Linked DNA regions of Mytilus edulis. The protein of the gene in region 1 interacts with the protein of each later gene in a pairwise test. Links are inferred from orthologs where the notes say so. Each region holds a gene or a part of one and is shown on either strand. Other genes may lie near its edges.

Region 1 (15,635 bases):
ATATATCCGTCAATGGTAGATAAAGAGTTAAAGGAGAAAAAAACAAACTTAATTTAAGTCATTCTCTCAAATTTACTATATGAACACTGAAATATCATTCATAAAACTAACATATAACACATTTTTAAGGATGTATTGTTTTCACTTTACCTTTATTTTCTGTTCCGTCCAATGAAAGAAGAAATTGGTCCACAGCTGTTTGGTCTGACTCATCTAATCCCTGGAAGAAAGTAAAAATATTTAATTAATTTTTCCAATTTCAACCCTAATATGCTGCTAACGTGCTACTATTGTTTTCTTATCAGACTACACATTCAGTTATTTGTTTTGAAAATTTTATTCAATTACTTTTTACAAATTTTGTTCTCTTGATCAGGAAATAAATATATATATAACTTCTAAAAAATCTTTTTTGAAACTTATTTTAAAGTACAGGTGACATAGATTTATTCATCCACAGTATAATGAATATTTAGAAGCAATTCTTAGTTTTACTTACTGAAGCCAGTAATTTGGGTGCAATGATGTCATTGATATTAGATACTGCCTTAGATACACCTTAAAATAGTAAATACACAACAATTAAATTTCTAACATACAAATCATACACTCTACAAAAACAAACAAGTAGCATAAGAAGGTTTCTGTTATAAGGTGAAATAAATATCTGTTCTCTCCTTTTCCTGGATTTTTAAGGTATTGAATTCTCATACATCAGCCTGTACAAAAACTACATACACATTATATTCAGATATCAGGCAGTTTGTCACTTCTTGAATGTTCTTCATTAAAAATGAGAAGCTGCATTGTATAATAAAGTTTTCCAAACACATACTTTAAAAGATTTTAGATCTCATTTGAACCAACTCATTAGCATGCTCAAGTTACATTCCCTCTTGTAGAAAATGTGATTTGTTTTCATAACATCTAGTGACTAGAAATTGTACTTTCCATGATTAATGCCATACGAGGAGATGACTCTGTTTACTCTCGTGGATTACCAAAGTTTATCCCCGTTTTTTGGTGGGGTTAGTGTTACTCAGTCTCAAGTTTTCTATTGGATATTTTGTTGAATTGTTTTACTTTTCATTATAATTCTTGTTTGCCATGGTGTGGTCAGTTTCTCTTGTTTATAATAATTTATTGTTATCTTCGACCCTCTATTTTTTAAAACTATAAGGTTTCTACATAAATCTGACTTTTCAGGACAGTTGAGTTTTAACTTACCTTTTCCATGATATGCCTTGGGATCTTTATCTCTCAGTTCTAAAGCTTCATAAATACCAGTTGATGCTCCACTGGGTACAGCTGCCCTAAATTGACCTATATAATACACAGAACATTACAATACTTATAAACAGACCTTTATATAAAAGCTTTTCTTGTCCTTATGTGTTGTTTTTTTGCAGTATCATTAAATGACTATCAAACTATATTTTAAAAACTATCTTACTTATTCTTTAACATTACCATTTATAATTACTTCAATGGGAATTTAAATACTGTATTCATGGTATTTGCTCAAAACAATTTTTATTCATTCATTTTTTTATCTATAAATTGAAACATTCTACATGTAAACAATATTCAATCCAATTTTGGACTATCATAACTATGATTTCAAACTGACCTTTTTCTGTGTTTAAATCTACTTCAACTGTTGGATTTCCACGACTGTCAAAAATCTGACGTGCTTTCACAGCTGTTACTGGCATGGTGCTCTACAAAAAAAATAAACTTTCAGTTTTGTGTCTTTTCATGTTGTATTTGTTTTATTCATATATCTTTTGCTCTTGATATATATATGTCTTTTTTGGTTAGAGTTTTTAATTCAGAAATTTGCAAAGCCTTTGATCTACTTTATTTTTTGTATCTAGGCAAACCTGAAGCAGTTAAAGCTTGAAATACACATTTTTTTTATTTACCATCTCATCATACTCATAGGGTACATGTAGCACTACTTGTGGATTGCACATGAAATCATTTCTACACAATAAACTTCGACCTACATACGTACCTGCTCGTACAACATGATTTAGTTTGCTTTGTCAAATACAAATCTCAATGAATTTGCTCTCCACTATGTTGCACAAGGGAAACAAACTCAAGCCAAGTATCTACTAGATATATATAATTTGGCCTTTTACTCTCTGGGGCCCTATACTGTATGTTAGAGTTTGATATATATTAGCCTGTAATTTGATACTTCTAAAGTAAAAACAATTTCCATAACTTAAAACACTGACAATAAAAATTTTACATTTCTAAAATGTCATTTAACTCTAGAATTCCTGTTTGTAGAAATTTATGCTATTTTGTTGAGTACTGCAGGAGTCAACACCTTTCGGCTCAAATATTAATGGGGGTAAATATCCCACGAATTGGGAAGCTGGCAGTTCTGTAAAATTCACTGGTTTAAGGTACATTTTATACATGAACATGTATGTATAACCACTTTTCTATTAGTTAATTTGTAATCACAATTTTGATTGAGTCAACATAATAAATTTTGAGTAAGTAAATTCTAAGGTCTACCAGCCTATAACAATATTTTTAAGTAGTTGATTTCTTCCATAATAATGACATAGAGGCAGATATAAGTTTTTTTTCAGGAGGCCTAGCCCCCCCTTTTGTGGAAAAAAATTGGTTGATTATATAGGGAATCACTGAAGCATGACTGGAGTGGGTCCCCTCTTATGCAGTTAATAGGCCCCACTTATGCAAAATTCTAGATCCGCCACTGTCACATAAATCCTTTTAATCATTTGACGTGTTCATAAAGCCAACATAGTCTTGCTTAACACTTTCGCCAATGAGTCCTGTTTTAACGGGATCAGAAAACCTCTTTTATATTTCCCACTCAAAACAGTGCAAACACGAGTTATCTTTCTTTGATGAATACCCGGATGAAAGTGTAAACATGGCACGTCCGTTTGTTAAAAACCGTGTCAAAATCAGAGGAAATTTACGAAATTTACGAGAATTTGAAATGAGGGAAAAAAATATTTGAAAGAATATTATATGGAATAATTAAAGCCAAACTAGTATACTTTTTTTACATAAAATGTTGTTTCACTTGGAATGGACATCGTTCAGTGTAAAGGAATTTGTACAGCCTACTCATTAAATTTTTCAAATTTTTCTGTTTTGGGTTAAAAAATTACGATTTGGGGTCAAAGAGCAGAATTTTTAGAATTTCACCTAGATAATGCCAAAAATTTGAATATTTTATGAAAAAAAAAGAGGTGCTCTGCAGGGCGCAGCTTTATACCACCCCAGTGGTTGAACCCTAAACAGTTGGGGCAAATTTGGTCACAATATTCATGCTTAATACTGTCTGAATTTGGATTGTGATCAAATTTTTGACATAATATAGGTTTTTGTCACAAAATTAATGTGGTCAAAGATTTAACAAATCTATTGCACAATACTGTGCAATTAAAAATTTCTTCTTGAAACTTTTCAGAATTCGAAATTTGAAAAATTGTGAAAAAAAAGGAATCCCTAAAAAAATGGTAAACCCCCCCCCTTGGAGCAATAACCCTTAAACTCAATCCCATGCTTTCCTTTGAAGTATTGAACCTTGTAGTAGAATTTTAGAGAGATCCATACACTTAAACACAACTTATTGTCATGGACATGATTGTTAGGAAACTAGAAACATGCTTCTTTTTGGCCCCTAATTCCTACATTTTTAACTTAATCCAAGCCTCCTCTTTGTTATATGGTACATTGTGGTACAATTTCAGAGAGATCCATACAATTACACACAAGTTATTGTCTGGAAAATGGAAAAATGCTTGTTTTGGACCCTTTTTGGCCCTTAAATTCCTAAACTTTGGCCCAATAACCCCTAAAATGGATCCAAACCTTCTACTTGTGGTTTTAAACATTGCCGTATAATTTCAGAGCAATTGAAATACTTGTGCACAAGTTATTATCCTGAAACTAGAAAAATGCTTGTTTTGGGACCATCATCCCCAAAATCGATACCAACCTTCCTTTTGTGGTATTGAACCTTCTGAAAAAATTTCATAAAGATCTATTCACTTAAACTAAAGTTATTATCCGGAAACCAATGTGTCTTCTGACGACGACGACCACGACATCATACCATTATGCGATCCCCCAAATTTTTTTCGGGTTGCATAAAAATTATCAAAACATGAACAAAACTGTAAACATGGGCCAAGTTGGATGGAACTCGAGTACGGTCTCTAGTTCCATATAAACAGTAAATAATTTTGAAGAGTAAGGACTCTAGATTACCGGAAATACAAGGCCCCTACTGGTGTCATACCACCAATTAAAAGTCCCTATCTGTTCAACCAAATTTTGCAATTTTCACAGCTTTCTAAATATTTTACCTTAAGTTTAACTTCATAGAAACTAGGTATATCATGAATTGTACAGGTGTCACCTTTCTGCATGCCAATTTTCAACATACATTCAAAATCATATAAGAAAGCAGAGAGCTTCCGAAAGGAGGTACCACTAAAAATAACCCCTGGTTTTCTGGAAATCTTAAATTAGTATACTATGGAGCGCATTAATCCTCAATTTTTAATGCAAACTCATAGACAGGTAAATTTTGGCTCAAAATGGTCTTAATATATTTCTCTTTCAACAAAACTTTCATTTCTGCAAATTTGTTAGTTCGTTTAGGTGAACAATGACATCAAATGCACTTTTTTTTGTCCGAGTAGGCCTACTTTCACATACGTTCTAAATTTGAGGGAGTAATTGGTGGTATGACACCTAAAGAGACAAAAAAGTTGATTAGAAATCTTTTATTTTGCTTTATTCTTAATCCTTAGTCAATTTGTAGTTAAAAACAGCCTACATGTATCTGAGCATTATGCGACTTATAATAAAAATTTCACAGCTCAATTTAAACTGACTGTAATGTATGACTTTGATAGAAAATACTTGAAAATTTCATTTTGGGCTACAGGAACATAAACTTTCAATATCAAGATCATTGTTTGCTGATTTTTTCTTGTTTGTTCTACTTCTTTAAAGACTTCCAACAATTTTTGCAATGAATTTAGTAAAAAATCCAAGGTATTGAAGTGTCAAGGAATATTGACCCCCCTTTTTTTCATCTGGTGTCAGTAAAGTACTACAAATTGATCAAAAGTGCAGTCATGGTCATTTAACTGTGTTTATTAACATCAGTTAATAAAATTTAAGATATAAAAATTTCATTTGGAATAATAAATGGTGCTTTTGTGAGTTTCTGCAGTGCTTACATTAGGCTATGCTATCTGCCAAGTACATAGTATGACGCAATGCTATAAGGGGTAAAAATCAAATAATTTCATTAAATCTGCATGACAAAAATTTTTTGGGGGTAGTAAACAACTTATGTTTCAATGTTTAACACCACAGAATAACTTTCTGTGCATTTGTAACATTATTTAGGACATTTTTTATATAAAAGCCTATTGTCAGGATGGGAAAAGCTAAAAATAGGACAAACTCAAGTTTTAGGCTCTAAATTTGCAATATGTGACAGTTTGCCCCCAAAAAGATTGAAATGTGGCTACTATTATCTCAAATGATCAGTTAAGACAAAAAAAAACAATTGTTTTCTGATTTTGATGTTTCACCGCATTTTGCTTAAAGGTGTCATACCACCAATTAAAAGTCCCTATCTGTTCAACCAAATTTTGCAATTTTCACAGCTTTCTAAATATTTTACCTTAAGTTTAACTTCATAGAAACTAGGTATATCATGAATTGTACAGGTGTCACCTTTCTGCATGCCAATTTTCAACATACATTCAAAATCATATAAGAAAGCAGAGAGCTTCCGAAAGGAGGTACCACTAAAAATAACCCCTGGTTTTCTGGAAATCTTAAATTAGTATACTATGGAGCGCATTAATCCTCAATTTTTAATGCAAACTCATAGACAGGTAAATTTTGGCTCAAAATGGTCTTAATATATTTCTCTTTCAACAAAACTTTCATTTCTGCAAATTTGTTAGTTCGTTTAGGTGAACAATGACATCAAATGCACTTTTTTTTGTCCGAGTAGGCCTACTTTCACATACGTTCTAAATTTGAGGGAGTAATTGGTGGTATGACACCTACTCTGAATATGTTTACATTCAAATTTGATTGGATCGACGTCATAACATCCGGGATATCGAGTCGATCTCTAGTAACCCTGCCACAACCCAGGGCTCATTGAGTTCTAATGGCGGGAAAGCTATATCCAATCATAACAGGTGTTATATATAACCATGTCAATCCTATCTACTCTAGATATCCATCCGAACTTGGCCATGGTGTTAGTGAATGAACATGATGAAATAAAGACACAAATAACTACAGACAAGTTTTAATTGACATTTATTATTAAGATCTACACTTGAGTATAAATAGTAGCCAGCTATCAGTGAAAGGGTTAGATGCTGGACTCCTATCAATTTCCAGAAATTTCAGATTATTGTGGTATATTCTTAGCAATAACATCGTTAATTGAAACTGTATTATAATATCGCTAATCCCAGCTGACCCGACTGCTTGAACTTTTGATGCATACAACAATCACTTTTCCATTGTGGCATCAGATATTTTGCTTTATAATCTTCTGACATCATGATCAAGCAAAAATCATTTTTTAATTGTGAAGTAAAGAATTTTAAAATTGTGATGTCAAAAGTTAGCGTGTGTGATTTTAATGGAGGACACATTTGCGACAATAAAACCAACATTTTACATGTAGTGTATGGCAAGGTTAAAATACTTTCGTCATTACAATTTCAATGATCTCCAAAGTACATAGTTTTGAAAAGACTGTTTTTCCTTCCTTATGTGGAACTCAGGACCCTGTGGAGCAGGTGCAATTATCTATGCTGAACACATTAAACCTGCTGCCAGATTACATAGACCTGTGGCACAAAGAGGATCCATCCTTCTGGCGGAACTCATAGCAATTCTCATGGTCCTAGAATACTGCATTACAGAAAACATTTACAATGCAATACAAAGAATCAAAATTTTCTCTGACAGTCAAAGCGCCGTGGGATTACTTACACTGAACTGGGCCCCAAACAGCTACATCTCCGTAATAAGAGAAATAAAAGAAAATATTGAACATCTTAGGCAAAAAGGACTCAATGTAATTGTATCATGGACACCAGGACATGCCAACATAGCTGGTAATGATGAGGCTGACATCCTTGCAAAAACAGCGGCAGAGGAAGCAAAAGAATTACCACTGGAAAATAACGTCATAACACTACAGGACGTCAAACAAGCAGCGTACAAAAGATCAGGAAATAAATGGCAGAGAAGATGGGAAATATCTGAGAGAGGCAGGGACCTTTATGAAAAAATACCAACTACAAAACACTCAATTATGTATGATTTCCCAACTAAAAGACATTTCAGTATATTCGCCAAACTAAGAACTGGCTATACAGAACTGAATTACTACAAGAACGGAGTAGGCCAAACCAACGCCATAGAGTCATGTAACTGTGGAGCACCTGAAACGCCTCAACATTTCCTTCTAGAGTGTCCCTGCTATGAAAACGAACGAGAAGATATGCTACACCAAATATCCAAAGAGGTCGGGGTCAGAAACTTGAATTTAGCTACAATGCTAACGAGACTGGACGGCGAAAACACAGAAGAGACAAAAGCCAAATTACAAACAGTGGCACATTACATTGACAGAACGGGCAGATTTAATACTGCTGTTCCTCAATCCCAATCTTAACCAGCGCATACCAAATTTAAAGCACAGAGAAGAAAATACGTCGAGGAAAACTGCACAATGGGACAATTCGAGATTGAGGATTTTCTTTAATGTAATAATGAAAGGGGGTTGGAGGGGTCCTGATCCCGAAATCCTGGGCTTAAAAACATGAAATCCAGAGGTTCTGAATTATAAATTAAATCCCGACATCCTGAAATTCGTTAAAAGAAATCCAGGATCCTGACGTCCCGAAAAAGGTCCTGCCCCCCCCAATAATGACTGCATAAAATTCTTTTTTGATAGGATTAGAATTTAGATCTTTGAGGATGCATATTTTTCCAGACAGAGTGATTTTAATGTTATAGCCAGCACTTACCAACTATACGTCAGATGGATAGAAATATACCCTAACAATCAAATAACTTCGAACAGGAAATGATGAGACAAGGACACTGAAAAATGCAAGGTTGCATGTATTTGTCATTCAAGGTCAACTAATTTCGCAGTTTTAGCATGTTTGACAGCTCAATACGAAGTCGTTACATTATCTTTTGAAGCTTGTAGTTAATAGAAATTAAGAGAATACAGTTGCAAACTTAATTCTTACATATTTTAAGCAGCTTTTCCTCCCAAATACTGTAAGTCTGCAGGTGATAGTCTGCACGTTGAAAGTAGGGCAAGGTCACAGGAAGTAGGAAATATTATAAAAATTAAAAAAGAAAAATAAATAAATTTCATGATACTTGTTTTGTTCTAATTAAATTTCCAGCACACAGTTAAATTATAAAAATAAAAATTGACATTTTGTTATTTTCAGCAGCGCCATCTTTACTATTTCGTCCAAGGGGAAGCAATTAGAAGGAGGATTTCGTGGTTGAGTAAACTTGAATGATGAAGATGATTGACTAATCACCCGAACTGATCAATATAACGGAAATTTAATCAGTAACCAAAATGCCTTCCAAACCAAGTGTTGATTTCAAGGAATGTCTGAAGGATTCTCCTGTATTTAGGTAAAAATCTGGCTAAAATTAATAATCAGCTTGAGCATGTTGTCTTGTTGAAAGTGAAAACAGTGACTAACTTCACAAGTCATTTATAGCAAGGATTCTTATTCTTATACAAATCCTTGTTTATTTACAATTATTAAGAATGCACCAGGCCAAAATATAAGGCTCTAGTAAAGACAATTTATTGAGGTATCAACTAGCTACAGTACTTCAGAATTTCAGGGTACAAGTGTCGTAGGAAGGCGTCACAGAAAACAAATTAATAGTAATTATCAGGGTACAAGTGTTGTAGGAAGGGGTCACAGATTTTTTTTTATTATAGCCTTGCAAGACGTCATAATTATTTGGAATAGATACAAGTGAAATCGACACCTTGTCAAAATATTAATGCACCCCTAGAAAAAGTCAAATACTGAGGCACCTATTTAAAGTCTATTCGGTATTCAATAATATTGCATATTAAAATATATATATATAAATAATTCTAAAAATGTATAAATGATTTTATTTTAATCATCTAAACACTCTATGACTGATGTGTTGATGAGTTGTTTTTTTTACAAAATGTAAATAAAATTTAGGCCACACTTAAAAATATTTTGGTTTGCCCAAACCCTACCCAAAGGTTGAGACAGTGGGTAGGGTAGGTAGGTATTTTCTTTTTTTCAAAAAAAGAAATTGAAGTATCAGATGTTTATTAGTCTTCATGCCTTTTTGATTAAAAAAACCTTCTTCAAATCAGGACAATAAAAGAATTTGAGTAGGCAACTTTTTTCTGGGTAGGTAGCGTTTGGGCAAACAAACCTATTATTTATTATGGCCTTAATAACTGTTTTAATAAACAAGTTTGTTCTTTTAACACTTCACAGGTATAGTTATTAAAAAAAAACTGAAATAAAAAACAATGAAGCCACAACCACAGCTGTTGTTTAATCATGAGAAAATTGAGGCAGAAGGAAAGACTATCACTAATCACATTAATAGCGATCTCACTAATAAGCAACAAGAAGAATAATTTAGCGTCAAGAAGACTCTGTAGCGTTAAGAAGACTATTTAGCAACAAGAAATCAAATTTAGTGACAAGAAAGTTGATATTTAATTCTATTAATAAATATAAATTTATACAAAATGTCAACAGTGAGGGGGTAGACATTCTTTATTCACATGCTACAAATGTATATTTATAACCTTATATATCCAATAAGGAAGGCTAAACCTGGGATCACTAGAAAATACTAGTCTGCAGGGTTAGCCACTAGTTCGATGTGCCAGACTAGTAAAATTTCATTTGGACTAGTAAATTTTTGCAAAACTTTGTTTGGACCAATAAGAAAAATGTCAGAATATTGGTCTTCACTCTAGTAGTTAAATTTTTCATAGTGCGGACTGCTGTGGCGAAGTACTTATCTCCTTAGCTTAGTTGTTGCTTACTATGTTGGTCTATTTTTGTTTTACACAGTAGTTAAATAATGACAAGTTTGCAATTAGTAGAAACAGTGCAGCTCATCATGCTCATGATCATGAGCTGTAGATATTAAAACACAAAAATTATTTTTTTCAACTTGGGTCATCATGGTCATTCACCATCATTTAATCTCATGTGTGTTTCTTCAAATAATGAGTTTGTGATTTTCTCCTGCCACATTCTTTTGTAGCACAAAAACACTACACCCTGATAGGACTGGGTCATTAATTTGATTTATTTTCAATTTTTTTCTTTCAATTATTCTGAAATGTGATTAATTGTTGAGGTCAGTTAGTTTAAATGTTTACAGGAAATTACTGTTATTGTATCTTTTTATAAGACATCAAAAGGTCAAGTGTCATTAAATTTTGGGTTCAGTGTTGTATACATGTACTATCTTATATAATAGAAAGGATTGTTCTATTGTCTGGAATACATTTTTGTACCTTAATGCAGTTAGCATTAGTTACAATGTACATAAAATTGAGAAAGGTAACCCAAATGGGGAATGTGTCAAAGCGACAACAACCCAACCATAGAACAGACAACAGCCTAAGGCCACCAATGGGTCTTCAATGTAGCAAGAAACATGTATCATGTGTATAGATCTATGCATTGTTATAATCAAGGGAGGAATGAAAAACCTGAATTGCTCTGCTTACTTATTATCAGAATTAACTTTTGTATAAATTTATGGAATCAATTTAAGAGAAAATGGCCTTGGTTTCATGGATCACAATTGAACAGATTCTTAAAATATGACAGCAAACAGTGGCGGATCCAGAACTTTTTGTAAGTGGGGGCCCGCTGACTGACCTAAGGGGAGCCCACTCCAGTCACGCTTCAGTGATTTCCTATATAATCAACCAGATTTTTCCCATGAAAGGGAGGGCCCGGGCCCCATAGCCCCCATTACTACATCTATATACCATTTAAGGAAACTTTCCTATATGAGGATAAATTTTCCAATATTTCTCCGAGTTTCTGGAGTATGAAAATATCTTCAGAAGACATACATGTAAGCCAAATAAATTGTGATCATGGTGATTTAATATCTAAACCACTAAAATTTTTAGACCGTTGTTTTATTAATTTCATTTAAAAAGTTGAAGACGAATATTTGAAAGTTTGTGGCACTGAAGAAGAAAATGAATTTCGTACCACACAATTTTCAGATACGTTTTGACACTGTCAGATTTTTGTACCTTCCCCTCTCAATCTCTAAATCGTAAATTACATGTATAAATTGAATATCTTTGACACTTTGTAAAGGATACATGTCATATTCAAAACTTCATAAATCTAACCTGTTCTATATAAAATACAAAAAATGCTGCTAAAATATAATCTTATACATGTTATGCAAATTCTGAAAGGTAAAGATAGAAATAGGAAGATTTGGTGTGAATGCCAATGAGACAACTCTCCATCCAAATAACAATTTATAAAAGTAAACCATTATAGGTCAACTATACCAGAAAAATAATTGGTTCAGAAACATATTTGAATCAGTCCTAGAAGAAAGATGATGTATACATGTATAAATAAAATTGAGAAAGGAAATGGGGAACGTGTCAAAGGGACAACAACACGACCATAGAGCAGACAACAGCCGAAGGCCACCAATGGGTCTTAAATGTAGCGAGAAACTCCTGCACCTGGAGGCGTCCTTCAGCCTGCCCCTTAAAAAATAAGTATACTCGTACAGTGATAATGGACGTCATACTAAACTCTGAATTATACACAAGAAACTAAAATTTAAATTATCATATGCATAGACTAACAAAGGCCAGAGGCTCCTGACTTGGGACAGGCGCAAAATTGTATATTTATGTGTTTTTTAAGATAACTTCCATTCATGCTTATCGTTATTTTAACAAATACAAAAGGTAGGTTATAGGTTATTAAAAAAAGAAGTTGTACATGTAACAGTAAACAAAAGATGTAAAAAGTGAGTAGTATAAGTGAAATAGGAAGTTGAGGAAATGGTTTGGTATGGGCCGTATCCTGTTAGATACTATACATATAAACTATTTATATTGCTACAACTAAAGCCAGGATTACAAATAAATAAGTTAATGGTCAATAGTGACAGCTAAAAATATTTTCCATTCATTTTGAAAAATATATAACTTAGTTGAAAAGGATAGGGGTTGAATAAGCATGAAACCTTTCAAAGATACAGACTACATTCATGTACTTTGGATGTACTATATATATATAACCATTTATCTAGCAATCAGTCAACTATTGTATGCAAATAACATGTACACAAATAATTTTTGCTTTATTTATATCTTTACAAAAAAGTCTCCTGTTATTCACTTCCATGTTGAGCAAACTGTAATGTGAATATTTCTACTGGGATAACAGTTAATTTTGGGGTTCTCTCCACTATCCATGTTCACATTTGAACTTTTGATTTCTTTCAAAAATCAGACAACTTTTTGGATTTAAACATCTAAACCTAAATTTGCCAGGAGTAAATTACAAGATAAAAACAATGTATGTACATGTATACAATGTAATTGGAAATATGAAATTAATTTGTACTCGCTACAAAACAGGAGAAAAGCTTTTCAAAGTCTGCACCATACAAAATTTGTTTTATGTTGAACAGTTAAATTGGTTCATCTTTACCTGTGAAAACCATGAAAATAGGTATTTTCCATGAATGGTCATGAATTCACAGTACATGTACATGATTTTGTTGAAAGCAACTGAAAATAGTGGGACAGACATGACAGACATTGAGTATATTTTTATGCACATTTTATATCCCACAATTATGACAGGCCTTAAGCTTTTGTTTCACATTTCAATACTTATTTTTGAAATAAACAGATAAATCAACTTAATAATATCCTTATGAGGGATTAAATATCTACGTTAGAATTTGAAATGATGAAAGCAAAGCTCTCTAATGATGTATAGGTTATTTACCGGTGATTTTTTTAATGACTATACCGGTAGCTGGATAAAAATATAAAGTTGTATTGCAAAGGGATATTCATTAATGTTCTAATATGAATTGGATAAATATTGGAAAAGTATCAATGTTTAAGTTCAGGTAAAATATTAAAAGAAGAAGAAGTGTTTATGGTGCAATTTGTACAAGAACAACCTTATATGTATCTGTACTTGAGAGCCTTATGTTTTGTCTGGTACGAAATTAAAACAAATATATGTATCAAATTTCCAAACTCTATTCACAGATACAAAAAGTACATTCCATAGTTGAAGTTGGTTGCTGTCTACCTTATTTGTTTTTTTGCAAAATTTAGGCTGTTGGTTTTCTCTTTGAAATTGTTTCTCATTTGTCGTGCCGGACCCATTTATAGCCTGAAATACATTGAATACAATAAATGGGTTTGTTCATTGTTGAAGCCTTTAGTCATTTACATCCCTTTTATTTGGTCTATGGTAGATAGCTACATGTATCTCAATGGCATTCAAACCACTCTCCAATAAATGTTAACAAACTTTGTATACCTTAAGTTTCATTTTGCATTACAATTCACAATTTCCTGAAAATTTAGTTTTGAAAGATAGTAATTAACAGAAGATGGGATGAAAGAATATTGTGAGTTTGCCAAGTTATTAGAAACATGTTCTTCACAGCTCTCCATCTGTTTCTATTATAACATGCATGCTTGTAGTAAATATTCTCCAGGTATTGTTGATATACAGTCTGGCAGCTTCTAAAAGAAATTTCAGGTGCAAATCGTTGTTTAAAAATCTGGTTTATCTTAGATCTATTTTTGATAGATCAGTGGAGGAGTAATTACAGGAAGAATTCTCTCTTGAGTTGTCAAGTGTATTTTAACATTGATTTGTTAGTTATACAATATGTGTAAAGTAAATAATGGCTTCAGTTTTTTCTGTGCTTTTAATTATTTGTAACAAAGTCAAAGTCTATAGAGGAATAATAAGCATTTAAATTATGTTCATAGTACTCAACTTAAGTTTAGTTTCTACATGTTCTACAGTAGCTGCAGTATAGGGTGTGAAAACTCCTAACTCCCATATACATATATGTTTTTGCTTCTTGTCAAACATATTTTGATTAAAAATAAGAGCTGTTTAGTGTTTTAAAAAACTGTTAATATAAACATTACATGAAATATATCTTCAGTTTTAATTTCTAAAAAATAACAAGAAAAAAGATAATTTTGAATAATTCCCTCACTGCACTTTTTTGTTTAAAGATTAAGATCTTGATTTCTAATTGTTTTCCATTCAGAAATACAGATGTGTTAGAATTTAATAATTAAGTGTTGAAAACAAGGGCTTACTTTGGTTTATCCTGGTTTGTTTGTCTTCCTTGTGTTAATCTACGGGTACACATGTAAAACATTAATATTTGTAATAACACATGTTAATCAGATGTTTGTTACTATTGGTGGTCAATTCCAATCAGTGAAAATTATCTCAGAATTTTCTTTCTACTTTGTCTTAAGATTAATACACCTTATCGCTAATCCAGGCTGACCCGGCCGCTTGAACTGTTGACGTCAACAACAATTACTTTTCCATTGTGGCATCACATATTTTGTTTTATGACGTCAAAATTTTACCTGTGTGATATCCAGTAATAGCGGACAAATAGTGATAAGGTGTATTGATGACCACTATAAATCATAAAAAAACAACTGAAGAAGCAGTGAACTTTGATCATTTTCTAGAATTCAACTTTGACCCCATATAATTTCCATAATTATGGATCTTCAGTCTTTGAATATAAATAAAATCCAAATCTTAATTTTACGAAGAAAATTATTGATTGGCCTATAGAGACTTGGATGAGGATGAAGACTGCAACTTCTCCATTTGTTGCATTTACTGTATAACTGTATTGTGAGTTAACAGAGGGAAAAAAATAGATTCTGGAAATCATTTGCACTTTCAGAAAAGGGAATTTCTTTTTATGACGGAAAAGTCTCATTACACATTCTTCTTGGCACTCCTTTCATAAAGGTTAAAATCCTTTACAGCCTATTCCATTGAGTGAAGGCAAAGGTTATTTCTTAAGTTAGCTTGCTTGCTTGCTAGCTTATCAATGAATTTATTATTAGGTAAGGGTATACTTCCCTCCATTCCATTTAGCCAAATCCTACAGACAGATAGATTGGTTATCTGTCGAACTAAGTCTCCTCTTAAGGAGGGTAGTTTACCTTTAACCTAATAATGACTACATGGTTCAGCTAACAAACAAGCTAACCAAAGATATTAGCTTTGCCTACACACTCAATGGAATCAGCTGTAAATTTGAGAAAAAACATTCTGTTAGTTAAAGTGGCTTGGAGTATACTCTGTCTTTTCATTCATGTTTAGTATGGCCTTCCTCAAAAGATTATATCCATAATTATTAAAGTATAAAGAAAGGAGATATTTCTGTTCTTATCTTACAAGTTTTAGTGAGAACTTCAGCAGTGAGCTTACATA
Region 2 (16,707 bases), on another chromosome or scaffold:
TTGAAAAGTTGGCAGGTATCATGGATTAACATACCTTATATATTTAGATTCAGATCCTCCCACAAACAAAGTAGGTCCATCATATTGCACATTTGTAAACTCAGGAAAACCACAAATATCACTGAAATTGTTTATAATACTGTCCAGGTACACTTTCCACACAAATCTGTTATTTTTCTGTATGAGGTTAGATGCTAGGAACTGTCTAACAAGTGATTCCTGCAAAGGTACAGTATCAACTCTTTTATCATTTGTAAGACTGTTTTGATTAAAAAGTAACAAAATTATGAAATATTTGAATTTTTTCCAAAATTATTATTTGATGCATTAAAATTATATAAATTCTTTATCAATATATAGCTAGTTTTACAATTATGTTGTTATACAAAAGAATAAACATTTCACTAAAAAAAAATTGCGTCTTGTTTTTGTGACGTAACTTTCAAACCATGAAATCAAAGAACTAATTTAACCTTTTGAATTTAAACGTAAAAGTAAATTTTTCAGAAAATCATAGCATTTAGTCAGAAACCTTGTTTAAGGAGCTTGATGCATAAAAAAAACTTTAAAAAAAATTTGTCACTTGTTTCTAAACATTTTAAGAAGTTTACTCTCGTCACAAGAAATTTTTATTTTTAAAAATAAGAGTTGTTATGATTGCCAATGAGACATCTTTCTACAAATAATCTAGATGTTGTCAAATATCCATGCTGAAATAATATGACTTTTTCAATAATAAAAAATATCTACCGATGTATCTTACCAGTAAAAAGATTTTGATATAGGATGAACATGATGAATGAAGTGATGTTGATTGAAAATTTGGTTGATGTTCAATTAAAATCTATCTATCATAAGAAAAATACATTTACAATTATAAACCAGATGCTCCGCAGGGCGTAGCTTTATACGACCGCAGAGGTTGAACCCTGAACGGTTGGGGCAAGTATGGACACAACATTCAAGCTGGATTCAGCTCTAAATTTGGATTGTGATTAAATAGTTGACACAGCATAGGTTTCTGACACAGAATGAATGTGTTCTAATGAACTTAAAATTTTTGTTTTCTCTTAGAGCAATTCACTATTCTGTTGAATATTAATCCTCTCAAAAAAATGTTTGAAGAAATTTTCTTTTTTATTTATGAAATTTCAAATGAGAAAAATTGAACCCAATTTTTTTAATCACATCCCCCTTTCCCTTATTCCAAAACTAATCTCAATTAAAATTTCTAATGGAGTTTGCAACAATAACTACTCATTTAAATACATCATAAAATATTAAGATGTAAAAAAACTGCTTGTTATCACTGAATGGTAAAGATTATTTTAATTTATCAGTTGGTAGTAAAAAGTGAATATACATTGTATATTGTATATAACAAAGATTTAAGTTGATTCTGGACAAAGAAAGATAACTCCAATTAAAAAAAAATCTTGCTATTGCACAATATTTTGCAATTAGATATTTCTTGCTTACTATTCTGGACAAAGAAAGATAACTCTAATTAAAAAAAAATTTGCTATTTCACAATATTGTGCAATTAGATATTTCTTGCCATTGCGCAATACTGTGCAATTGAAAAGACTTGCTATTGCACAATACTTAATATAATAATTTTAGATCCTGATTTGGACCAACTTGAAAACTGGGCCCATAATAAAAAATCTAAGTACATTTTTGGATTCAGCATATCAAAGAACCCCAAGATTTCAATTTTTGTTAAAATCAGACTAAGTTTAATTTTGGACCCTTTGGACTTTAGTGTAGACCAATTTGAAAAAAGGACCAAAAATGAAGAATCTACATACACAGTTAGATTTGGTATATCAAAGAACCCCATTTATTCAATTTTTGATGAAATCAAACAAAGTTTAATTTTGGACCCCGATTTGGACCAACTTGAAAACTGGGCCAATAATCAAGAATCTAAGTACATTTTTAGATTCAGCATATCAAAGAACCTAACTGATTCATTTTTTGTCAAAATCAAACTAAGTTTAATTTTGAACCCTTTGGACCTTAATGTAGACCAATTTGAAAACGGGACCAAAAGTTAAGAATCTACATACACAGTCATGACAGTTAGATTTGGCATATCAAAGAACCCCAATTATTCAATTTTGATGAAATCAAACAAAGTTTAATTTTGGACCCTTTGGGCCCCTTATTCTGTTGGGACCAAAACTCCCAAAATCAATACCAACCTTCCTTTTATGGTCATAAACCTTGTGTTTAAATTTCATAGATTTCTATCAGGCCTGGGGCCATTACATTGCAATGTAATGCATTACATTACAATTACTTTGTGATTCTTCCATTACAATTACAATTACAATTACATTTTTTCTCACATGTAATGCATTACATTACAATTACTTTGCCTGTGTAATGCATTACATTACACATTACTTTTTCAATATAAAAACTAAAGACATTTCAAAAAACAGATTTTTATAAGAATTTGATAAATATTACAGGGGTATATGTAGATATATATACAGTGTTAGTGACATAGACTTCAAATACTGGTTAATTAATATGTCCATTGAACTTTATTATCATAAGAGGTTCAAAAGTGATGTCATTAAGAAAACAGCGATCAGCTCTGTACACCTTTCTGGCAATACTAAAAAGCCTTTCTACAGCACCTGATGTGTGTGAAATGGCTAAATACTTGATAGCTGTATTAGCCAAAAAAGAAAGGCACACTGAATTGACTTCCATCATTCCAGTGCATTGATTGAAATTTCTTCACATGGCTCAGACAAGTAGATGTCAACATCATGTACTGCACCATACCTGTGTCTATACTCTTTGATGGAGTAGTAGGAGGCATGAAACTGGAAAAGTCACTTTTAAGATTCTTAGGTGGTGGTAAAAAATAAATAAATTATCATATCATTTTGTTTCTTACATTGATCACTTAATCATTAAGACATCATTAAGGGATTTCAAAGGAAGATAATAAATGTGTCATTAGAGGATTATCTTTTGAAATGCTTAAGGGCTCTGTGAGGACAAACATAAGTTGAGAAGATTTGATTGCAATAAAAACATTTTGATATTAATTAGGTGAAATAACAACACAGACAGGACCCAAACCACAGTTTGGTTTAAAAATGTTGTTTGACATATTCAATATTCAATTAAGATTTTTCATTGAACACCAAACCACCAAACACCAAAATATTCCTAATATCATTTTAAACAAATATCAGAAACCAAAATCAAGACTTGATAATTTTTACCATTTTATATTTATTACCTTAATGTGTGTTTTAAAGATTGGTGTAATTTATTTAATACAGTAATTAACTGTGACAAAAATTTTATTCCATACTTTCTTTTGTTTTTGTTAATATTTTATTTTTATTATACAATATTCTTCAATTTTATGTATTTTACCAATTTGTAATGAAAAGTAATGTACTGTAATGGAGGCATTACATCAATTTTTAACTAAAGTAATCATTACATTACATGTAATTGTAATGCAGAAAATGTGCATTACAAATTACTTTGCATTACATCCAAAAAAAGTAATATTACACAGGGGTTTATCTGGGTATTTTGGGAAAAAGGACCCTGGCCAGTTTTGGGAATTTTTTAGCGCAGTTTTCAATGAAATTGGGAAAAACAACCAATATACCAGATGTTAGTTTTAGTGTGTTTAGTTAATTAAATTTGTTTTTAAATATAACAACATGGCATTAAAGTTTATTTGAGTATCAAAATAATGAGTTCTAACTTTTTAAAGGATTGTTATTTTTTTTTATTTTGACATGAAAATTTGTGAACTAAAATATTTTCAGTTCTGTATAAAATATATCCTGTTTCTATTTTCTTTTATATATATCTTTTACTTTTCAATTTTAGTGTTGCTATGATAGCTGTCACATGTTTGGTTCTTTTCATTTTTTATTAACTGTATTTGATTGACAAACCCTGAATTATATACTTGTTCGTTTCCGGATTTGATCTGGTTTTAGTATTTTCCCACACTTCCTGTTTATTCATGGCAGCCATTGTTTGTCAAATGTTGTTTGTCATTCAATATGTTTCAACTTGGATTTACACATTACTTGTTGACGATTTTTGACATAAAGCTAGCTGTTGAATAAAATAAACATCTCTGTCATGAATAATAAAGATGAAAATAAATTTTGTGATAATTTGGGAATTTTACTCCCAAAATTGGGAAAAATGTAGGGTTTTTGCCGTTGGGAATGGGTCCGAAAACCGGACCCTGTGGAATGCTAGAAAAATCCATGTTACAATGCATTACAATTACAAATTACCATTACCCCAGGCCTGATTTCTATTTACTTAAACTAAAGTTATTGTGCGAAAACCAAGAATAATGCTTATTTGGGCCCTTTTTTGGCCCCTAATTCCTAAACTGTTGAAACCAAAACTCCCAAAATCAATCCCAACCGTTCTTTTGTGGTCATAAACCTTGTGTCAAAATTTCATAGATTTCTATTAACTTAAACTAAAGTTATAGTGCGAAAACCAAGAAAATGCTTATTTGGGCCCTAATTCCTAAAATGTTGGGACCAAAACTCCCAAAATCAATACCAACCTTCCTTTTGTGGTCATAAACCTTGTGTTAAAATTTCATAGATTTCCATTCACTTTTACTAAAGTTAGAGTGCGAAAACTAAAAGTATTCGGACGACGACGCCGACGCCAACGTGATAGCAATATACGACGAAAAATTTTTCAAATTTTGCGGTCGTATAAAAACAAGTTATTTTTCATGTTCGTGGAAAACATAAAGAATCTTTCTGATGTCAAAATATTGATTTTACCAGAGTTACCTCCCATTTGTAACTAATACATTTTCTATCACACTTTTACACAATGAATATGTGTAATGAAATAATGCTCAGTTCTGTTGATAATGTTAATCTAAGATCTTAGATTGATAAGGAATATATTTAGTTTGATTTGTCAGCATGAATTTCTGCTGAGTCCTATTTTTGTTATTTTGTTATGCAAAAATAAATTGTGTAAATAAATATGACTTATTTACCATAACTCGCTTCAACAAATATGACCAATACAATAATAAAAATATAAAATATTCATACTTAGTCTTTAAAAATAGTTACAATGTTGGTAATAAAGATTTTTTTGTGTGCATTCATTTTTATCATTTATATGCATTCATTATTGCATTTTTGTGCAATCTATTATATTGCCATTTCTAGTGCATTCATTATTGCCCTTTTTGAACAACAACAAATGAGATCAATTTCATGAAATGCTGCATACAAATAATGATTTCACAATTTATAATGCAAGTTTTCTTTTTGCAATTTTTGGCAATGATTTTAAAAAACATTGCAAAATCTTGATATAAGTCACTGTCAGTAGATAACTTAAAGGGGAGATAACTATTGATATAACTTGCTTACAGGTTCTACTTCCTTTAACATATTGATAGCAATCTTTCTAGCCTCAGATACAGGAAGATCTTGCTGCATGTATAACTGTACTTGAATTTTCAGCATCATTTGTAAGAAAGCTGGATATGTCTTAGCTCTTGGACTAACTGTTGGTGAAACATCTACTACAATTAAACTATCTACTCTCTCTGGCTGAAAATTATTATAAAGAAATCTATTAAAACATTGCTGAACAAAACTATAATGTGTAACAGTAAGAAATACAAGTACCAAAAGTTCAAATAACAATGTAATTTAAACTATATATATAAATTAATTTTGAACTGACAAACCCATTTTGACTGAAACTAATCTGCAAAGACTAAAATAAATATATGTCAAGTTCAGTTTCAAATGTATCCACTGTGGAAAGCATTGTTCATATACTTTCCTTGTCATCAATTGAGATATTTCTACAGTGGTCTTTACTCTTGTGCAAAAACAGTGCATTTGGATCACAAGTTTTCACAACATTATATTTAGATTATATCTGAAAAATATATTAAGCTCATAAAAAAACATTTTTTTTTTCTATATTCAAACAATTCACAGTTCAAAAATGTTTTCCATTTTTTTGTAAACACCCAATAAATTAGAGTGTTTTTTCTGCATTCATGTAAGCTACAAATGTATCTAAATTTATGTTTTTAAATAATCTTCTTAAAGGGGTAATATATGTACTTACATGTTGTAAAGCTGTGACCATAGACATTTTTCCACCCATACTGTGTCCCAGTAAACAAGCCTTGTCTATTGACAATTCATCTAATAGGTTAATAATATCCTCACTCATTAAAAAATAGTCCATACTTTGAGTGTGTGGACTTTCCCCATGGTTCCTGACATCAACTGTTATTACCTATTGTAAAAATACAATAAATGTACCATCATAAATGTCACAAAAAGTATACACTGGATTCATTATAATTTGTTGATTACTAATATCTGTTGATTTTGTCGGACCATAAATTTGAATGTTCAACAAATTACAATTTTTCCTAATTATGCTTGTATACAGATTTTGGAAAAAACACAATATAAATTATCCAGAAAAATGCTAGTTTTTCCTCAATCATTGAAAATTGGTATCCACGAAAATAAATCAATACACAGTATGATCCAAATATAGAAATTTGTCAGTAATTATATACAGTATAATACTGTTGTTTCATTTCCATTCTTGGGGCCTCAATGGCCAAGTTGTCTAAGTACTGGTAGTTAGAACCCCGTTTGTGCAGTCACTTTTGACTCCAATCTTATTGACTAGGATGTCAGTTATCCTATCAAAGGTCAAGGTTTTCTCAGGGCACTCTGGCTTCCTCCATCCATAAAAACTGACTGCCACAAAATAGCCAAAAAGTGGCGTTAAAACACCAACAATCATTATTATTCTTAGAATACCAATCTTCAATGAAGTACATGGTTTCTTAAGGTTTGATTACAGCTTTGGTAAATCCACATCAAATTTTACGAAAAATTTGCCTTCTTCAATTCTCAAAAATAGGTTAACATAAAAATTAAAGGTGTTTTAACTTTAGATATCTTAATGTTTTTTTGTGTCTTTGTAATTTGTCTGATGGATGTATGGTTTCTCAGCTTACATGTCACAACTAAACTCAATATACATGATATATATGTAGTATGGTTGCCAATGAGATAAATATTACCCAGTGACCAATGGACATGAATTTTAAGGCAACTTCTTTGCTTGTTAGACTGTATACCTGTCTTCCCTTTTTACTCCACAGTTTTGATAAAGAATGCCAGTTATCTTTGTTTCCCATAAGACCATGTGTAATAACTACAGGGGGACCAGAACTGCCAGGCTCTTGATAATTTCTGTATGACAAACATACTCCCTGACCTGAAAAACTGCAATGAAAACTAAAATGTATCATATATTATAAATAATTTCATAATTTAATGATAAGCATACCTGCCAGCTTTTCAGAATGCCCACGGGGGGTTTTACATGCAAGAGGACTCTTGTAGTCCCAAAAAACCTTCAAGGGGGCCTTCAAATGCATTTAAATGTTGTTTTTTGGCTTCTTCATACTTTTAATAGCCTATTGCATTTATAAAAATTAACTGTTTTATTTAACATTTGATCAAGATTGTTGACAAAATTGCTCTTTCAAAATTTCCATATCGGAGCTTTCATGGGGGAAATCCCCCGTAAATAGTGACAGTTGGCAGGTATGGATAAGACATTTCTATACCATACTAAAATGTCCTTTGCTCTCTATAAACATGAGAAATGAGAAATTAAATAGTCAAAATAATGTTAAGTCCAATAACTCTGATTATAATTATCAAATTAACTGATTAATAATGGTACAATGCTCATTGAACAGGGGCGGATGCAGGAATTTTCGAAAGGGGGGGTGCTAACCCAGGGCAAAGGGGGGGTGCAAAACATATGTCCCGATACAAATGCATTGATCGGCAAAAATAAAGGGGGGGTGCGCACCCCCGGAACCCCCCCTCTGGATCCGCCACTGATTGAAAACCATATCCAGTATGACAGATACCAAATGGTTTCAGAAGAGTAATTTGCTTTCCCAAAAAATGTCTCTAAAAGTAGTCAAACTTACAAAGTACAATTGCTCTTGTTAAATTGATGGAATCAAGATAAAGATTTATCAAAGTCACCTACATATGATGGAAAATAATGCAATAAAGTATCAAAGTTTTCTGGTAAAACAACCTTAGAAAAAATGTGTTTACAAGGTGAGTTATTGTTTTGAAATATTTTTCCCTTTTGGTAATAAACCTCTAACAGATGAACAGATAATCCTGTCAACGTATACATGTATTTGTTCCACCTAACAGAAGTTCCAATGGAAACTTTGTTATAAACAATGTCATAATATCTGTTCCTGTTGGAACAAATATTCTATATACCATTTATTCCGTTGGTAACATTTACTGTAATATTTATTCCAGTGGAAATAATATTCCAGAATATTGTTTCCATTTGGAACTTATATTATGAAAGAACTTCTATTCCGTCAAATGTTGTACTAATGAACTCAAAATCGTTTAATTTTTTTTTGTCGCGTTTTTTAATTTCCGGAACTGCGCAGAACACATAACTCTACTTCCTTCTTCTGGTCTTGTTGTCTTGAGACTTTGATTAGTCTAGTAACATATAGGAACTCAAGGAACATAATACCAATATTTCATTTTTAATCATTCTTCAACTTTGGTATGAATAAATGTTACCTGATGCATTGCGTTTCTTTGTTTACATTGAACATGACGTCATAACTTAAATAACGTCACAAGTAAAATCCCTAACAACAGAACCAAAATCGGAAACGTTACGGTATTTCTGTTTCTTTTTTTTAACAAATATATTTATAAAAAATAATTTAAACAAACTTTGTCCCCATTCACAGGTAATGCCTGCCTCATATTACATACAGACTTCGTCCTCATTTCACAGGTTATGCCTGCCTCATATTGAATCCTAGTGAATATAAATTTGGCCTCATTAAAGAAAAAACAACTCAATAACTGTTCTGCTAAGCCTTAAACCTTATCGAAGCCTTATGTCATTCACAAAAATTGAAATTTTTAAATTTGCCAGGTTTGTTTCAGGGATTACATCAGACATAAGTTTAGTCATGTCACAGTCAATGTCATATCTAAAAATGGTGAAACTGCAGCTGTTTATGAGTTACAATCTTTTGAGTTTACCTGGGTTTTTGAGTTGACTTGTGTCTTATAGCGAAATAAAACAGGCTTGATGGTTTACAAATTGACCTCCGAAAAGCCATTAAATTTGAAATTAACCTGGTGTTGTTAAAGTGTCATTAAATGTGGAAATGACATCTAAAAAGCTGTCTGCTATTTTTAATGTCTGCGTCAATTTAGTGCTTGAAAATAAATCGGTGAACACCAAATGATAAGCACATTGAAGATTATGATGCACATGGCGCAGGCGCATAACTATGCATACGCCTCATTTCCGGATACAAAATCCCTTACTTCCGACTTTAAAATCACTTGACACTGAGCCTTCAGTCCGTATTTAAACAATTACAGGGCTATGGCTCGAGAATATGACCATTTATTCAAGCTCCTTATCATTGGTGACAGTGGTAAGAACCCGAAATATCCATTTATTAATTTTCTGGTGAAGTAGGTGCACGATTTTTGCTGAAGTCATTGATTGTTGTCAAAGTTGAAAGTTGTTGGCGACAGCTTGTATGACATAATTTTAATGTTTTCAGAAACTGGGCCATAACGAAAACTGTTTATTGGGGAAAGACGGCTTCAAGCCGTCAATCCCCTATGGGGTTGACCAGAGTGACATTCCCTCACATCATTCATTTTGTTTTTATAGTGTGGAAAACCCCCCAACAAATCTTACTTAGATTGAAGAGAAGGAGACCCAGAAATGAATAGTTTGACTTTAAACACTTTTTTACACATTTCCCTTCTGTTTCTCACGAAATTATCGTATTTTGAGCTCTCCTTTCCACTATTTACGTTTCTTTTACAATCCGGAAAAATCAGTATGACGAGATATTCTAAATATATCCAACATACATTGTATTTAATAGTGACGTCATTCTTGGAATGCCACACTACGCAGAATCAGGGATATCCTTCACTGGTTATTTATATCATTCTCAGAGATCGTGCACTAATTAGAAATTGGTATTTGTTAAATCTAAACATAATAATGTCTGCTGTAGATGATTCAAACATTAACATGCAATACTTTAATTTGTAGGTCACCAGCTTTCAAAGTAAACAAAGATCGTGGGGTTACATGAGATAGGGGAGAGAAACGATTTTATTATTTTTTTTCTGTAAAAGTTCTGTTTTGAGAATCTTCCTCCAATTCAGGAGCACCTCAATTGATAAGTAATATTATCCACTAAAATAAAAGTTAATGTATTTAAATACTTAAAATGTGACATTTCATTGGATTAGTAGTCTTCCATTATAACTAAATTTTTGTGTACCAACACAATCATTGTAATGGGGGAAAAAAAAGAAAAAAAAAATTGCATTTTGTAGTTTAAACCTATTTATTCATGAAATTCACAAATATTTCAAATTTAGGATGTGGAAACAAGCTTCACACAGTTTACATCAATCATATTGGTGTTTTTTTTTATCAGTACCTGATGAGAGTTGTAACTGGGAACTCCTACAATCAATGGAAATTTAAAACTGAATAGATTTTTCAGTCCACACTTTCTCAAGAAAAAACTTTAAAATCCAAGAGTACTGTCACAAAAAATGGAAAATGGCCCTAGCCTGCAGTTCATTGGTACACAATCAAGATTTAAAAAAATATTGTAGTTGTTGTGAAATGACAGAATTCAGTTGAATTTTAGATAATTAACTATCAACTTAAATCAAATGTTTAGATTTAGAAGATGCAGATCTCTTCCATTGGTTCTAATTGAATCCTAAACTAAGGAAATGAAATTACATAAACAACAGTTAATTTCAATATTGTCAACCTTTCTACATGTTCTAGCTGTTCTCTTTTTCATTCTTTATATGAAGACTATCAAAAGATACCCCCCCCCCTTCCTTCCAAAAAAAATAATTAAATAGAAACAAGGGCCGTCTTTCCCCTCAGAGCTATTCAGCTCTTTGATTTTTAAAGTTATGAGTGACGTTTTGCATGTTGTCCCAAAATTTTAACAGTCAATCTGCTGTCACAAACCTGTAAACAACATCACAGCTGCAGCCACATAAAAGCTGAACTTCATTAAAAGAAATTTAAAGGTTACAGTTTTAAAAAAAGCATACATAGCACTAGTAAGACCAAAGCTAGAATAGCTGGGACCCACATACCAAATCACAAACACACCAACTTGAGATGGTCCAGCACAGAGCAGCAAGGTACATGTACACATGCAACTGATACCATTACACCAGCTCAGTCACTGAAATGCTGCAAACACTAAATTGGGCAACTCTTGAGAAAAGGCGAATAAAAACTTGCATCATCTTCTACAAAATCATACATCATATTGTAGCCATATACGCGACAGATATACTCACACAATCTGATACAAGTACAAGACAACTTTAGTCTTTAGTAAGTGTCCCAAATGACACTGTAAACACTTGTGTACGTTTCCTCTTTTGTAGTTTCTTCACATATGTAATGTTCACTCATGTACTTAATTGAAATTGTGGCTGCTGTTAAAAAATTTTGACTTAATTTTGATATAGATTTATAGTGTTTTTTGCTGTATAGTGTTTTTGAATCTACCAGACTCCGTTAAATAATTTTCCAGATGGCACAATATCTCATTTCGATTGTCTCTATTAATGTCTTCTTCATCGATTCCTAATAAGGTGTCTAAATCCATTTGTATATTTCCTGTAATAAAGTAAATAGATGTTCTCATCCTCTCTCTAGCCTCCTCATAGTTAGAACAATGTAAAAGGTAGTGTTCTACAGTTTCTGGCTCTCCACAGGAACAGTTTTTGTCTGATGATGGTATGATTTTGGATTTATAATCATTTAAATCACAATAACCTGTTCTCAAACTAGTAGTAATTGAAAACGACCATTTGGATGGTAAATCTTTTGGTATTTTCTGACAGACTTTTTGATGATAGTTGTAATAATTTCTGCCACGTTGACTTGATTCCCATTGGTTCTGCCATTTTCTTAAAACACTTTCTCTTGCTGCACGTTTTATATCCTGCCTGGTTACTTCTGATGGTTCTTCTATTTTTTCAGCTTCTTTAGCTCCTTTTTTGGCCAGTGAATCAGCAATGTCATTTCCTTGGATATCAGCATGACCAGGTGTCCATTCAAAATTTAATGGAATTCCATTCATCTTTAATACTTTCATGTTTTTCTTAATTTCTCTTATGACTTTGGTGTAATTCTCTGATTTCCAGTTTAAAGTTAAAATTCCAATTGAGGTCTGACTATCTGAAAAAAGTGTAATTGAGGCTGTGTTTTGTCTGTTTTCTGATATTAAAAAGTGGTCAACAACAAGTTTAATGGCGATCAGTTCTCCCAGTAGTATTTATTCTTTCAGACCCATACAAACTACTTAAGACTCATACCATACTCATGTCATACTTTGACACTAGTATGTGAGTGATTCTAGATACATGTACATAATATACAATGGTTGCTGATTTTTTTAACAATTCAAAATGATTTGTACTGAATAATGAATTACATAATTTTGTTGTCATTTCAGGTGTAGGAAAAAGCAGCTTATTGTTACGGTTTTCAGATAATACATTTGCTGGTAAGTACTGGATCAAAATTAGATTTAAATAGTGAAATGAAAGGTTATAAACATGATTTAATATGATGTCCTTCTTTCGCTTTGGAAACAAAGCCATGTTCTAATTTCAATAAAACATGGGCTGCACATGATTGACCTCGCAATGGAAATTGCAACGTCAGTTGTATTTAGAACAACGCTGAAGATCCAACGTTGACATTTCTGTTGTTGTTGCTCTGCTCGCTAGTATATTAAATAAAATCATTTTAAAAGTAAGTTTAAATATATTGCTTTATTGTTTACAGTTAAACGAAAACAAAATTAGGTCTGGTTATAATGCTGATGACTGGAATTGAAAGCAGTCACACACAGTCATGATAAGGTTTTCTACTCAAGAAAATTCCTATGAATACAATCAGAAGAAAACAAAGAAATTTGTTTGAAATTTTTCTTCTTGATGGTGCCGGTGAAAAACTGTGGATTCATTATAATTCATAATTGGTTATCAATTTTCAAGGTTTTCATGTGAACAGGTGAACCATCAATTTAAATGTTTAACGAATTACAAATTTTCTATCAGGTTGTATGCAGACTTTCTCAAAACCATAAAATCACATATCCATGATGAAAAGGCCAATTTCCTTCAATCCACGAAAATTAATGAATCCACAGTATAGAAGATCAGTCTGTAGCATTTATTATTGTTATAATCATAAGATACCATAGAAATGTCATTGTATGATAATGATATAAATGTTTCAGGAACCTATATAACAACAATTGGTGTAGATTTTAAAATAAGAACAGTAGATGTTGCTGGTGAGAAAGTTAAATTACAGATCTGGGATACAGCAGGTCAAGAGAGATTCCGTACAATCACATCTACGTAAGTATAGCAACCCACCTACTGAAATTATACACACAAAAAAATATTACAGATCGAGAAAGGTTTCTATCATTTTATCAATGTCTAAGAAGTTCATCTTCTGCATTACTAAAGTGTCAACACTGAAGTTTGAGTTTGAACTCTGCATATGGCAAGTATGTTTGACTCAAAATTTAAACTCAATCTATAGCTTGTCTTGATAAAACAATACACCAAATATCAAATCAATATCTTCAAGCTTGAAGAAATGTGTGGAAAGCTTGAAGAAATTGATTTGAAAATTGATATATAGTTTAATCATGACAAGTTACAGATCAAGATCAAATTTTCTTCTGGTCATATCAGTGTTCTCCCCAGAAATTTTGGATAGCATCACATTTTGCGTAAAAAAAAATAACTGTATTTTTTTTAATGTTGTTTGTTGCGTCGCGTTGATGCTCTATTTCCTTTATATGTTTTAGTTTATATTATTCAATTCATAACTGAGAATACAATTAAACTATAACCACAAAAACAGTTGTTTCAGTTTATGTCTTCTTTATTCATTTATAGTTACAGAGTTATTTTTTTCCTCTTGTGCCAAATAAAAATAAATATGTGGTTTCAGTTACCCAACAATAAGTCAAATGAATGAATGGTTCATTACAGTGCAACCTGTATTTATACAAAACTAAATTATCTAGTACACAAAATTAACTACTTTTTATATTATATCAAGTAAAGATAAAGTAGCAAAAGAAGCAAAAAAAAATCAATTTAAAAACTTTTTTAGTGGAAAAAGACGTCAAGTCTTCTGAAGACTTAAGGGGCTGACCATTGGCATTGAGTCTCCGTATGCCGCATTCATTTCGTGTATTACAATTTCAAAACAACTTAGATTCCTGAAACCGATTTTTACACATGATTAGGCATCTGAATCATTTAATTTGTAAATTAAGATTGTTAAACAATCACTATCGTAAATATGACCCTTTTATTTATGTAAATTATTAGATTTCATCTCATCCACATGAACGTTATTTGTTTACTTGTAACAGGATGTTTTTACTGTAGATATTTGTATTACGCATGCGTGAATTTGGTATCGGGACAACTCGTCCTGTTTACAAGTTCGCCCTTGAAGTTACGAATTTGCAATCCTGCAGACAAGATGATTTTGTTTTTATATAAATAAAAAGGATATATAAAGTGTTGTCTTTATTCATGGTTTTCCTGTGTCATGTGAATAAGATGCCCTTCGTAACATACATGTGAACCTCCCGTTTAGGAGAAAAAACTCTTGTGTATGAAATTTTTCAGACGCCATATTTGATCATTTCTTACTACTGTACGGGTGTAATTGATACCTGTGTTAAATTTTACCTGAACATCAAAGAAGATGTATAATTATATGGCTTCACTTGACAGCTTGGGTGTCAAACATACTGGTAATCAACGATGTTTACCTCCGGCTAACTGCCGTTGTGTTATCAAAACGATGTGTAATGGGAATATTGAAATACTTTTTTGTTACTTCCCTTTGTTTTATCCTGTTTTCAGTTATTTTGCTCTTAAAAATGTAAATTGTAAAAAGACTATAAATGATTAATATTTTAATCAAATAATCATAAAAGGATGTTGATTAAATGAATTTAAATGATTTTGGACAAATAAAAAAATTAAAATTTATAAATTATTTTAGCAATCTAGACCTCCTTTCAATGATTAAATTGAAGTTTATATCATAAATTTGTTTATAACTGATTAGAAGTCAATATACAATATGTGCAACTAGACTAATAAAAGGTCTAGTAGTTAGATTAATTCCTAGTAAAATCTTGAAATTTAAATTTGTAAATGTTAGTATATTTTAGATTTCATTGTGAAAGCTAAGAAATAGCAAGACATTTTACACTGTTTTTAAGTCTTTTTAAGCTTTCTACAAATATGACTTTTATAATGCTTAAAATCCATGCAGTACTAGTGTTAGTGTATGTTATTTTTTTAATTAATTTACGATGTTGCAAATGTGGAGCTTATTTCTTTCTTATTTGTCTATACACTTACAAATGATAAGGATATGGAGACATGAACAAAAATATATACAGAAATAGATATATAAATATAATGATTCATTTGCAAGCAGTGAACAATCATTTGTCAAAAACAAAACAAAACAAAACAAAACAAGAAATAGATTCTTCTTATTATTTTATTTTATTCAAATAGAGAGGCAATAAGGGACTATAAACATTACAATTTGATGGAAATTTGAAGAAAAAACACAATTTCTACATCATTTGGTTACATTTACGACAAAATTTATGTCGATAAAAAACATGATGTTTTGACCATTCAGTACTTAATAGATGCATAGTTCTTGGGGAAAAGTTTCATCAAATAATATGAATATAAATGACTTTTTTTGTGCTCATTTTTTACAGTGGGTTGTGATGATCTTCCAGTTAGGTTACCCTCATTTGGAGTGTTGTTAAAGGTCCATCTTTGTGCATAATTCAAAATTGGAAATTTCAACAAGCATCTAATATTCTTAATCTGGAAAATAAACCCTGGTCTGCTAGCTTCATGTATATTTTTTCTACCTATTTAATATATAACTAGAATCATGCAAACAGACTTAAGGAAAAGGCATGTAAATTCATCATACAAATATGACACTTTTTCTAGACAATCCAGATCTTGCAAAATACGTCGCTAAAAATTGTAACCTTTAAAATTGTTGTTGTGCAGTAAAAACCCATATGGGAACTTTCAAAAGTTGGCAGGTATGTAACAAGTCTTACTATTTTTATGCTCCATTTATGGGCAATATGTTTTCTAGTCTGTCCGTCCGTCCTGCTTCTGGTTATAAAGTTTATGGTCGAGGTAGTTTTTGATGAAGTTGAAATCCAATCAACTTGAAACTTAGTACACATGTGTTCCTCTTGATATGATCTTCTTAATTACTGCCAAATTAAAGATTTTACCTAATTTTCATAGTCAACTGAACATAGAAAATGATTGTACGGATGGGAAATCCATGTACTTATGACCTTTTCTTGTTTGAAGAAAAAAAATACATTTTAACGATAATGGAACAAAGCAGCCTGGGTAAGTGGGGCTGCTTTTATGGTAATTCAAGTTACCTTTTATTCAC

The links.
Region 2: the proteins of arf-GAP with coiled-coil, ANK repeat and PH domain-containing protein 2-like (region 1) and ras-related protein Rab-35-like interact in a two-hybrid assay, tested with the Caenorhabditis elegans proteins (2 studies listed by BioGRID). The link is inferred for Mytilus edulis from reciprocal best matches to the Caenorhabditis elegans genes cnt-1 and rab-35.

The regions. Positions count from the first base shown.
Region 1 is NC_092356.1:71,611,914-71,627,548, forward strand, and holds the start of arf-GAP with coiled-coil, ANK repeat and PH domain-containing protein 2-like, read left to right. Parts: upstream 1-8,558; 5' UTR 8,559-8,668; coding exon 8,669-8,727; intron 8,728-15,635. Other genes in the region: enolase-like, read right to left, coding at 151-220, 500-558, 1,228-1,323, 1,631-1,715; uncharacterized protein, read left to right, coding at 6,824-7,735. UniProt on the Caenorhabditis elegans protein: GTPase-activating protein for the ADP ribosylation factor family. Regulates endosome recycling downstream of rab-10 and upstream of arf-6.
Region 2 is NC_092349.1:6,754,923-6,771,629, forward strand, and holds the start of ras-related protein Rab-35-like, read left to right. Parts: upstream 1-9,426; 5' UTR 9,427-9,507; coding exon 9,508-9,559; intron 9,560-12,655; coding exon 12,656-12,706; intron 12,707-13,447; coding exon 13,448-13,571; intron 13,572-16,707. Other genes in the region: sn-1-specific diacylglycerol lipase ABHD11-like, read right to left, coding at 35-219, 5,424-5,606, 6,139-6,312, 7,178-7,325, 9,156-9,235.